Daphnia pulex: one gene and its partner. The main gene of each other region encodes a partner of the protein of the gene in region 2 in a complex. Links are inferred from orthologs where the notes say so. Each region holds a gene or a part of one and is shown on either strand. Other genes may lie near its edges.

Region 1 (5,925 bases), on a different chromosome or scaffold from region 2:
ATTGGAGTCGCTGCAAGGTAGGGTACTCGTAAAAACAGGGGAGACGATTACACGACTGGCATGACGTGCTATTAATCGATTCAGGAATCCTTCAGCTAGTTCCTCGATGTCATTCATAAGTGACCCTGTAACTACGTTCTCCAAGTGTGCTCTTATACTAGACAGAGCCTGCAGAAAAATATCCATTAGTAAGTATTACAACTGATAACAAACTAAAAAATTTACGGTTTAGCAACTCACTTTTTTAGCGTAATTCAAAATCCCGTCTTCGGAACGCGTTGGAAGGTAAGGATACTTGCTGTTGAGGGGGACCAAAGTTGGACACAGATCTAGGTTGGTCTCCAAAACATCAAGTGTTATTCGAACTTTGTTCAATTCATTTGCCCCGCAATCGAATACCGGTAGCTCATGTTTATACGGTAAATCGTCATGAACGGTGATGCATCTATACTCGAATGTGTTGCAATTGATTGTTAGCTTTGAGTCTACTTTAAACGCAACTAGAAACTACTTACCGAATTGTCGATTTGAGAGACATGGATGTTTTGATCCCAGAAGAAGAAAAGGGGTTAACAATTAGGCCGACGAAAGGCGCATCTTGCCGGGAAAACCATTGCTGGAATTCGTTCTAAAAGCAAACATTACAAATATAGAATGTGTAATCAAAGACATGACGACATACACTCTATGCTCACCTGAGTATTTAAATCGCGTAAAGAAGGGAGGGCAGGGAATGTCGGATGAGAGTGATACCAGCCTACAATTTCAAGACCGCGAGATCGTAACTCCTCACTGCCTTCTGTTTGTGAAACTGTAATAGCAGAAATTACACAGTTCAGTTTTTATGAAGTGTGATTTGATCAGCAGAAAAAACAAAACAATCTTACTAGGACACATTTCACATTGATGGTTAGTTGCCTGACTTCGACACGGTTGGGCGGCTTCGATGGATAACGTAGCCGGAGACTTATCCGATCCCGGATAGATGTGGCCTCCAAGTAAGCCAATAATTTCTGTTGTGCAAGTATGAGAATGGAGGTCAATAACTACAAGCGCTTCCACCGAAAGTTGTACGCTGAAAGGTGCCTTTAACAAAGAGAAACATTTTCCAATTAAACCATAATAATTTCATTCAAATAACAAAGAGATACCTCTTTCTCGCCACCGAAATTTAGACATGGAACTAACTGAAAAGGAGATTTCTCCTCAAGTTGTGGTTTTGTTCTTTTTTTCGGTTTTTGTTTTTGTGGACTAGTAGATCCTGAATTCGAAATGAATGAGCTCCCTTGAGAGCCGTCGTGGCTGATTGTGTACCCGCCATTCTCGTCTCCATTTTCATGATGGGGTCTCTTCTTCCTGACCCTTGCTGGTAGTCCGGAAATGAGAGGAAGGTTGTTCACAAAATGAGTACTGCTGTTCGCCATTCTCTCTCGATGGCAGGGCACTGGTGGCAACGGACGGTTGTATTGTACCTGATCTGTAGGATTTGAACGAATAAAAATGTTAAATGAACTGTGTAGAAATATCAAAGATAGAAAAGCATACCACATCCAAAGTTTATGGCCCCTGTCAATTCCAAGTAAGCGTGCACTCGGCTGATACAATTAACATCTCCGCAGTTTTTGAGGGAAGGACGAACGGATGTTTTCGTGAGGTAACGTGGTTTTACTCTGCGCCACTCTTGAACAATGCTGTTACGAATCTTCATGTACCTTTCCGGTGTTTTACTGGGACGACCCTCAAAGAAATCCCAATGAATCGTCTTTTCCTCATCTGTGATAATAGTAAATGCAACGGTTCGCTCTTCTAGGGGAGCTGGAAACGTGAAGACGGGCTGCGGGGGTTCAGCGTCCATTAATCCAACATCTGGGTTCTTGGAATCAGTCTCAGAAGATTCACATTCACTTTTATCTTCTTGTGCGTATTTTGTTGATGGCTCAGACGGCTGTGGTAGTGGTGGTGCCAGAGTTTCTATGATTTCAGCTTCTTGAATTTCGTTTTTAATTGGAACAGAAGAATCATCAGAAGATGACTGTAATTTTAGGGTTTCTTTTAAAATGGTTGGAGGTTTGTTGGCTGTACGTTCCTCTTCATCGTCACTGCAATCAATATCAACTTCGGAATCGCTAGAATCTACTAGTTCACTTGTTCTTTGTAATCGAATAATTTCTCCTTGAAGAATGGGAACCGGTTTCTTTGTAAGTGTGGCATCATCAATTATTATATTACAATTTGTTAATTGGGGGACGGATAAGTCTTTTGAAATTTTCCTAGGTCTTCCAGGCGCTTTCTTAACTAAGAGTGGATTTTTTACCCGCCTAAAGAAAGAATTTTAAAAATATCTATATTGAATCAATGGCAGTTATTGTTTAAATATTTGTCATACCTTATTTCTTTTGTAGGAGATTTTGGTTTTGAACGGTTCGTCTTTTTGCTATTTTTTGTCGGAGTCAAGTCCCACTTGGTAGGTGCCACACTAGCAATTACTTCTTCTGTGGATACAGCAGGGACTTCTGCTTCATAAACAATGTCACCCATAGAAAAGTGAAAGGTTGGTTCTTCGTTTGTAACTTCCACTTCATTGATGAACTGAGGAGGTGATGGGGTATTGGAAATGTGAACTGAGGAACTTGTAATAAGTTCTGGATGTGATTTAATGTAACTTTTCACTTGAAGAGTAGTCTTGGTTCCAACTGCTCTAGCAACCTTGCTCCAATTTTGATTGTGTAGACCCTTTAATAAAAGTATCAAGTAAGTTACACAGTCCTGCCATAATCAGTAACCACTCCGACACTTACAATTCCTTTACGAAGAGATGCAACATCATCTTTAGTCCACATAGGACTCACTTTTGAAGCAACTACAGCAGATGTTGTGGTTGATGGAGGGTTTGCCATGGGTAAACTGTTTGAAAAGTGTTTTTTCTCTTCATGGAGCATATTCTCCCAATTAAGTGTTTTGTTCTTATCTTCATTGGCATGATCCATCATTGGCATATTCCAAACCTGTGAGAAAGTTAGATCTTGCTGTACCCAAATATAAACCACTTTGAATAAAAATTTACTTGTGAACTTTCAAGAAGCCAAGGATGTTGCATATAATCGCCCAATAATTCCGAATTCTGTGTAGGAAACTCCCCGGCATCGTATTGGTTCAAATCCGTCCTGTGATCAAATGTCAGTTAGTACAAATAACATGCAAACAAAAGCTTGTACATACTCAAGATTTAGACAGAAATCCCCTAGAACATCAACTTCATCGTCGTCTTCCATTTTTCTTAACGAATGTGTTTTCACAACAAGCTTGATGCCTCTATCACTAATTATATGCCAATTTGCTGCAGACGACGTGTTGAGGGGGGGGGGAGGAAAATGTCGTATGCGATTCGCTTTACAAACAGAAATGCAACCACGCTTTCTTGCAGAAGACACTCGCAGACTCGGCTCAACCAAAAACAAAATCAGTTTCGAAGAGGTGTTAATGCTGGACGGTAGTTATAATGGATCGGGGCAAGAATTTGCCGCCTAAAAACTCCAAGTCAAAACCCCTTGGATTCTCTGGTGATTTTATTGCTCTTGGACCAAAGCAAAGTCGAGCAGAACCAGTTGATGCAAAGAAATCAGGATCTTCTTCAGGTGGTCCATCAAAACCCACTCCTGCTCCACTTCCTTCTTTGGGTAAAATGAGAACAAAAATATTTCTATTTCCATTCTTTCTTTCCCTGGTCCTGACCCTGACCAATAACTTGCTTATCATATCCTTTTATAAATTAAGTTTGAACATGGATTATAAAATTTTAAACTTATCCACATTCCTGTTTAACAATCTCTTTTAACTCGGTTCAGCTACTATTATTATTTATTCTTTCAGTCTGTACATTAGCCTTAAAGAATGATATGTTTCATGACTGTGTAGGTCCTTCAGATAAAAAGCGGGAAGCACCAAGCCAGCTGCCAGGTTCATCTCAAAATCCAGCTAAGAAAGCAAAGCCTGGGCTCCCAAATACTGCATCCTTTACTGCATTGGGAAGACCTGCTTTGAAGGCTGCTGATCCTCCCAGTCCAGGTTCGACTGGTAACAGACTAGAGCCATGGGAAGAAGCTGCTATAGAGGTAGAGTTACTCAATCTTCTGGATTTTATCAATTTATCTTTAAATAATGTTTCTTTATAAAAATTTATTCAAGATTGAAGCATCAGAGTTGTTGAATGCTATTGGAGAGGCTGAAAGTAATGATGATGAAGAAAGAATTGAAGCAATCCTATGTGGATCAGTTAAGCAACTGAAAGCCTTTAGTCTGAGTCAACGGAATAAAGTGGAACCCATTCTTGCACTAGCCCTTGTCTACTTAGCTAAATGGAGATCGCAATATTTCAACACCGAATTGATTGTTGAAGCTTTATTGGTATTACTCAAACGAGACGTTACCGCCAGTATTGGTCCTTTTAAAGGAAGGACAACTGCTTCTGCAGCTTCACTGGCTTGCAATTTGTTGTTAGCCGGTCTAGAAGATTCAACGGAATGGCCAGAATCTTTCTTGAAAGTTTTTGTCGAAGATTCCGTTGGAGAACGAGTTTGGGTAGATCGCGAAGAATGTCAAGGGTTTGTCGAGAATATCCTAACGGCATTCAACACCAAAGTCCCTTCAAGGAACATCCTTCAACAAGAAAGTGCTACTGGCACTGGACTTGGATCTTCTGGTGCTGCTAGTTCTCCTAGTATAACTTCTCTTGGCACCACTGGTCTTGAAGATGATGCCAGCGTGGATTCAGATAACAGTCAGGGTGGGCTGCTTCGAGGTTCAACTCATCTCGATCAGCAACAGGTAACAAGTGGGATTTAAATTATGCACATAGTTGTATTTTCATTGTTACCTTTTTCTTAGGTTCGAGTTATTCCTCGATTTCAACATCTCAAAGACATGGCAGAAGCACTTGTCATGGAAATAGTAAATCAACATTTAAGCAGGTATTAAAATATTTGAGTTGCATTAAGGTTAGGGTAATATAATCAATGGTTTCTCAGACGGCAGCAACCGGCATCTGACCTCACTACAAGGAACTTCTTAAAGTTTTTGACATCAACAGCTGGTTTGCCCGCTGTAAGAACTCAAGCTGCCCAGCGATTGGAAATGTGGCTTTCCAATCAAAAACTTGTGAGACCAGCCACCGACCTCCTCCTCTCGATCTGCGTCAATTGCAGTACCGAAGCTCCTACAGACACAGATGTTCTAAATGCTCTTCTACGTTTGAGATTAAAGGTAGTAATAACGTCAATGTTTTTGTTTTAATTTCAGAACAAAAATAGTAATACTTTCTTCTTTTGATTTTCAGAGTAAACCGCTGCTCCAGACATATCTAACTTGTTTTAAAGAATTGGTCGAGCAGCAGGTGGACCAGCTTCCACTCATTGTGCGGTTGTTAATATTCAATGAGCTCTCCCCTTCTCGAGGACCGAATAACATGGCAGTACTGGCTGTTTTGGTCCAACCGTGGCCTGATCGTGCTGCCACAATTTTAGCGGACGTTTTTATGGAACTTCTACTCAATCGTGACGATTACCTTCGGGCACTCAGGTATTTTGCATTTGCAATTCACAGACGTGGACTGGGTATAATTAATGTTATATGTTTTTAGAGCACTATTACGTGAAGTGGTTCGCGCTCTCCGCCACGACTTACCTTTACCGACATTTTGTGCAGCTCTTTTACACGGTTGTATGCAAGAGAGACGCAAAGTTGCAATCAGAGAATTCGAATTCAAGGTTCGGTAGTATTTAAAAAAAACCATGTTAGTAGCAATACGAAATAATATAATGACTTTTGATACCAGGATCGGCTTTTGAATTCATTGGCAGACTTGACGACTTTATGCATTTTCCTTGCCATAAGTCCAGGTGTGCGTGAATCAGCATCTTTGGTCGCCCG
Region 2 (5,699 bases):
CACAAAATTAGACTAGGCACGAGTAATGTGTAGTACGACGATAGGCATTCGTCCAAGAAAAACTTTTATTTTATTTTCTCTCCCCTCGTTTCTCCTAACCAATCAAATAAATACTTGGGACAGTCAAAATACCTTTAGGCCCACCTCGTTCCCCGATCACCGATCCCCATTCATCTTTTCAAGAGTTAGTCAAACAACCGATCGTTTAATCATCGCCTTTTAGCAGCTTGGCGAGCGAAAGAAAAAAATCCTTGCCTTTCATTTCCAATTCAAACGTCCATTTTTTCTTCTTTCTCCACTTTTTATCTCGGTCGAAGAATGTGCCAAGATTGAAAGATCATCAAAAAGACGCACAAGGGAGAAAAAAAATAGAAAAAAGCGCAGCGCAGCACCTGGCCCTCGGACAAATTTCAATCCATCACGGGCTGGAAAGGATCCCAAAGTTCTAGCCCCTCAACAGTTAGTTAATCCCCCCTCCACCCTCTTGTTAAAAAAGGAGCTACAAGTTAAAAAAACAAAAAAGGGACCGCCCCGAGAGAGTGAGATAGAGAAAAAAAATATTAAAAAAGTCCCTTAAATATCCCTGATAATTTAAACGGCGATAGTGTACACAAGAATAAACCAGTCAAATAAGGAACTTAATCACACACGCCCATCGAAAAGAAATAAAAAGAGATGGATACATCTCAATTTTTTAAGCGCCAAGTTCAAAAACAAAAACAAAACTAAAATCCCCACCAGACACCACACGACCCGAACGGCCTACTCACAACACACACACACGACGTCCACACACACACACACAGACTCACTCCCTCACAGCAAGACAAAAAGGGTATTTATATCGCGGCTAATTTGCATTGTAACCTTGACAGGGGCGGAGGTCTCTCCACTGACGTGTGCCCAGTCTAATCCTCGGGACTCCAACAAACTCTTTCGACGAAAAACAGCAAACAAAACTACAAAACAATCTTTTTTTAAACATCCAGAGAGAGAGAGGAGAGCGAATCAGGAGCCCCAAAATTGGCACGAAAAGTTTTTGCAAGTAATAGGTCCATAACCCCCCCCATACCCCCCGCCGGTCCACCACGCAAATTGAAAAATAATATCTCCAACTCTCCAACCGACTCTGCTCGGACGGTTTAACTTTTTTAGGAGCTTAATGGGTGGGAGGAGGTTGGGGGGACTTTTCAACTATTTCTCCCTCCTTGTTAAAAACAAGTGCCAACAACAGACGCACAGTCAGTCGGTCCGCGTGCCCTTTCTGGCCTAAGAATACCCCACCTTTCCTCTGTAGACACTCCACCTTTTACCCGCGGGCGGGACCGACTATCTGTCCCGACTTCTCCTCCTCCTCCTTCTCCCATAAACACCCCATGCAGACCCATCCCAGGAACCCCAAAAGAAAAACAAAAAAATCGATTTTCTTCCTATTCGGTTCCTTCCAGTGAGAAAAAATAACTTTGGAATCTCGAAGGGAAAATAGGAATGACTCAGCATTTGATTGTGTGGTCTTTTCTCTCTCTTTTGGTAAGGGACGATACCTAAACTGCTCTAGACGGACTCCTAATAACATCCACCACCACCACCAACTTTAAATACAAATGGTTGCGTGTGTGGAAAGGCCCTGTCATTAGTCAAGCCAAGCAGCGGCAGTAAGTAGTGTGGGATAGGTCGTTAACACCGGCCAGGATATTTCGAGACAAGTCAGATGAGGGCGGAGGAGAAAGCTGATAGGATTCCGCGCACTCTCAAGTATGCGATGATTACCTTGAGTAGGGCCTTTTTCGTGAGCTTCTGATTGACCTCGGGTCGGTTGGTGATGTTCTTGGCTCGGTGGGCGTAGTCGAGGGTTGATAGAGTCTCCTCCAGGTTGGCGGCCGCTGGCGAGATGGTAGCGATGATAGACGTTTTAGTTCGGCCGCCCAGAGAGTCCTGAAGCAAGCGTGTCAGTTTCGATTCTCTAAATGATTCCAAGAGAAGAGAGAAACATTTCCATTTTAACGTTATTAACGCGTTGAATGACGCATCCATTTTTGTGGCTGTTGGGCGCGGTTGAATCATTTCGTTTAAATTATATACCTGTATGGGATGTGTGGAGCACGCTCGACGAGGGAAGTGATAACACGACCAAGTGTCAGCAACGATTGATTGATATTGCCAGCTTCACGAGCTCGGCGTTCAACGGCCCCAGAACGACCAATGTTCTCACTCCCGGCCAAATCGACCAGGTTCAGTTTGCCAATCTTCATAAGCTCCTCGCCGTCGTCGGTGTTCTCCTTGATGTGAACAGTGATGGAGAAGATGGTATGCGAGCGACTCGAATGGGCATTCATTAGCGTGGCTGCTGTTTGACGCTTGAGCGAGCCTTTAGCCAAAATACTGTAAACCTGTAAGATAAATAACCATGAAATAAGAGATGGTAAACAAAGGACTTAACGCAGCCTTAAAATGTTGGAATGGAAGACAATAGAAATCAGGAAAAACTCACTTCATTTTTGTTGTGCACAGTTACCTCCTCCATGCCTTGGATAATGACTGAGCCCTTCTTGGTTGTGTCATCATACAAGCTTTAACAAATTGAAAGACAAATGTGTTTTTACTAAACGGTCACAAAATTGTTAAAATAATGTAATGAATGACTCACCGAAGTTTGGTAGTGTCATCAGTTCCAGACAGCAAATCGTAGATGTCTTCATTATAAATTTCAATAAATGAAACACGAACTGTACACTCAACTTCTTGAATCCTCAATTCATCAAACAGATGTGACAGCGTTCTAGGAATGATTCCAGAATAAGGGTCCTAAAAGAGTTAACAAACCAAAATTAAAAACAAAGTCTTAACCATGAACAAGTTCTGTTTTCGAAAAACTTACATTTTCCCATGAAGATGACAATTCGTCATGCCTTTCACCCTCCATGGTGAAAGTTTTGCCTGTCCCCGTCTGCCCATATGCAAATACAGTGCAGTTATAGCCTGCCAGCACTTCGTCCACCAATGGAGCGGCAACAACTTTATAGACATCCACTTGCTTTGAATTGCTCCCAAAGACCCGATCAAAGCTGAAAGATTTTGTAAGCGAACTCTTCTCAACCACCTGCACTTCTTTATTGTTGCCAGCTTGAGTTTCAACCACAATGGGTGAACGGGCTGCTTTCTCTTGCGAGCTAACAGGCCTAGGAAATTTCCACAAAAAAAATAACGTTATGTTGAGTTGCAAAAAGACAGTTAGAAAAATAAACGCCCTTACCGAATTCGGACGAAGACTTGGATATTTTGATTTTTATCTCTCATTTCTCTGCGTTTCACTTCGCTCATAATCTGAGCACTACCCTTGCAATTTTAATTAAAATCGAACAAAGACTATGGCGCACTTTATGCAACGGTCATCTAATCGAGGTGACTGAGAGTAAAATTAGGAGGGAGTTCCGGCAGCAGAAAGCAAAAAGCCAGTTAGGTTTGAGAGTTTGAAAGCGAGCTAGACGTTGCCATTTTGTCAAATCCGATCGTTCAAACTATTTTTTGTTGAAAAAACTCAAATTATTATTAAATTAATAAAGAATTCAGTTTTAAATAAACTGAAATAAAAGTGTATAATTAATTACTAATGTAAAATGTGGTATTTTCATTAAAAAATTTACAATGTTGCTTTCATTACTAAACTTGTGTTGACTGTGATCCCACACCAAAATTCACGAAACATGGCCGCTGCTGCTCGAGTTTTATCCCCTTTCTTGGGTAATTAAATATTTTGATTTTAAATGTTTGGTTGATTATTTTTAAGGTATGTGTCTATGGTTCATTTCATTCTAAACCATTATTGTCATTATAGTATCTGTGAGGCCACCAAATGTCGGTGTCAGGTGGTGCTATTCGTCAACTAGACATCAAATGAAATTGACCAAATCAACCCGAGTCCTTTGCCAGGGATTCACGGGAAAACAAGGAACCTTTCACAGCAAGCAGGCCATTGACTATGGTACCAACATGGTTGGTGGAGTTTCCCCAGGAAAGGGAGGCAAAATCCATCTTGGTGTACCCGTTTTCAACACCGTTCTAGAAGTAAATCTCAATCCTTCATTCCAACAAATTATAAAATGGCTAAAAGTTTTAAATCTAAACAGGCTAAAGAAGCAGTGCAACCAGATGCTACAGTCATCTATGTGCCTCCTCCTGGAGCAGCAAAAGCAATCATGGAGGCCATGGATGCTGAAATTCCTTTAATTGTCTGCATCACAGAAGGCATCCCCCAACAAGACATGGTTAAGGTCAAGCATCGCCTTATGAGGCAAAACAAGTCCCGTTTGATTGGTCCCAATTGTCCTGGAATTATTGCTCCTGGCAAGGTAATATATCTGTTAACCTTGTTTCATACACTAAACTTATGCTACAACTATTTATTAACAACCAAACTTTAGTGCAAGATTGGTATCATGCCTGGTCACATCCACCAACAAGGATGTGTTGGCATCGTTTCACGTTCAGGCACTTTGACCTACGAGGCTGTTCATCAAACTACTCAGGTAAATTGCACCATTTTCCTATTCATCCAATTGTTTGTTACTAATGGACTTGTCTCGTTCAACTCACAGGTGGGTCTAGGTCAAACTCTCTGCGTTGGTATTGGTGGTGATCCTTTCAACGGCACCAATTTCATTGACTGTTTGGAAGTGTTTCTTAATGACCCAGAAACCAAGGGAATTATTCTTATCGGCGAGATTGGTGGTGGAGCTGAAGAACGAGCTGCCGAGTACCTGACTCAACACAATTCGGTATACTTACGATCTGTTTACTCCCAAATGAACGAATTCCTTACACAATTTTATTCTATTTTTGCAGGGTGACAACAGGAAACCAGTAGTGTCATTTATTGCTGGCTTGACAGCTCCTCCCGGCCGACGCATGGGTCACGCTGGTGCCATTATTTCTGGTGGCAAAGGCGGTGCTCAAGATAAGATTATGGCTCTTGAACGAGTAAGTTAACAAAATTTAACGCCAAGAGTAGATATGTTAAAACTTCTAAATTTGTAACTTGACAGGCTGGTGTTGTTGTTACTCGAAGTCCAGCTCAGTTGGGCACAACATTGATGAAGGAGATGGTCGGCAAAGTTTGAAAACTTATAACCAACCCAGGGCAATCAAATTAGGTGTGGTTTGATGATTATATAAAGAAATATTAGCCATCTTTGTAAACTAATAAAAAAGATTAGAGAAAAAAACTTCCCGCGGTTTGTACAATTTTATTAAAGTTCTTCTCTTATTTCCAACAAAAACAGGTGTTGAGAGAAAAATACAAAAATCAATTTGAAAGATCAAAACATCTGGTTTATTTAACTTCCAAACCTTTACATGTAATCTTTGAGTAAATAAAAAAAAAAGGAGAAACATTCCATTAATTCTTTTCTTACCAGGATTTGACACCCGAAAAGAGAAAAGTTGAGAGGGAAAAACAAAAATTTTGGAGAACGGTGTCTTTTAGGGTGAGGGTCGTAACAAGAGTGAGAGGGAGGTGGTGGGTTTATGTAGTAACCAAATCATTTCGGTTATTGTATATCTTCTTAAAACACTCAACACTTGACACACAGATTCTCTTTTTCTCTTCATTCTGGATTTGGTTTTTTGGTGGAACCGAACGACAAAAAAAGACTTGATAATTTGCATATTTTTAGTCTTTGAAGCGGCCACCATCACCTTCG

Evidence for each region. Proteins that work in one complex are often made in the same cells at the same time.
Region 1: kinesin-like protein Klp61F (region 2) and histone H2A deubiquitinase MYSM1-like share a complex: the UniProt entries of both Homo sapiens proteins name them as parts of the large chromatin remodeling complex. The link is inferred for Daphnia pulex from reciprocal best matches to the Homo sapiens genes KIF11 and MYSM1.

The regions. Positions count from the first base shown.
Region 1 is NC_060019.1:12,572,053-12,577,977, reverse strand, and holds the start of histone H2A deubiquitinase MYSM1-like, read right to left. Parts: upstream 3,402-5,925; 5' UTR 3,273-3,401; coding exon 3,220-3,272; intron 3,165-3,219; coding exon 3,065-3,164; intron 3,006-3,064; coding exon 2,799-3,005; intron 2,734-2,798; coding exon 2,387-2,733; intron 2,319-2,386; coding exon 1,546-2,318; intron 1,478-1,545; coding exon 1,152-1,477; intron 1,087-1,151; coding exon 888-1,086; intron 812-887; coding exon 696-811; intron 629-695; coding exon 516-628; intron 446-515; coding exon 241-445; intron 169-240; coding exon 1-168. Other genes in the region: integrator complex subunit 1-like, read left to right, coding at 3,500-3,677, 3,916-4,112, 4,186-4,824, 4,885-4,967, 5,025-5,259, 5,333-5,574, 5,636-5,762, 5,831-5,925. UniProt on the Homo sapiens protein: Metalloprotease with deubiquitinase activity that plays important regulator roles in hematopoietic stem cell function, blood cell production and immune response.
Region 2 is NC_060023.1:1,595,452-1,601,150, reverse strand, and holds the start of kinesin-like protein Klp61F, read right to left. Parts: upstream 3,400-5,699; 5' UTR 3,322-3,399; coding exon 3,254-3,321; intron 3,180-3,253; coding exon 2,879-3,179; intron 2,806-2,878; coding exon 2,648-2,805; intron 2,571-2,647; coding exon 2,492-2,570; intron 2,391-2,491; coding exon 2,083-2,390; intron 1,964-2,082; coding exon 1,771-1,963; intron 1-1,770. Other genes in the region: succinate--CoA ligase [ADP/GDP-forming] subunit alpha, mitochondrial-like, read left to right, coding at 3,705-3,741, 3,836-4,065, 4,128-4,349, 4,422-4,526, 4,596-4,775, 4,843-4,977, 5,043-5,117; programmed cell death protein 4-like, read right to left, coding at 5,669-5,699. UniProt on the Homo sapiens protein: Motor protein required for establishing a bipolar spindle and thus contributing to chromosome congression during mitosis. Required in non-mitotic cells for transport of secretory proteins from the Golgi complex to the cell surface.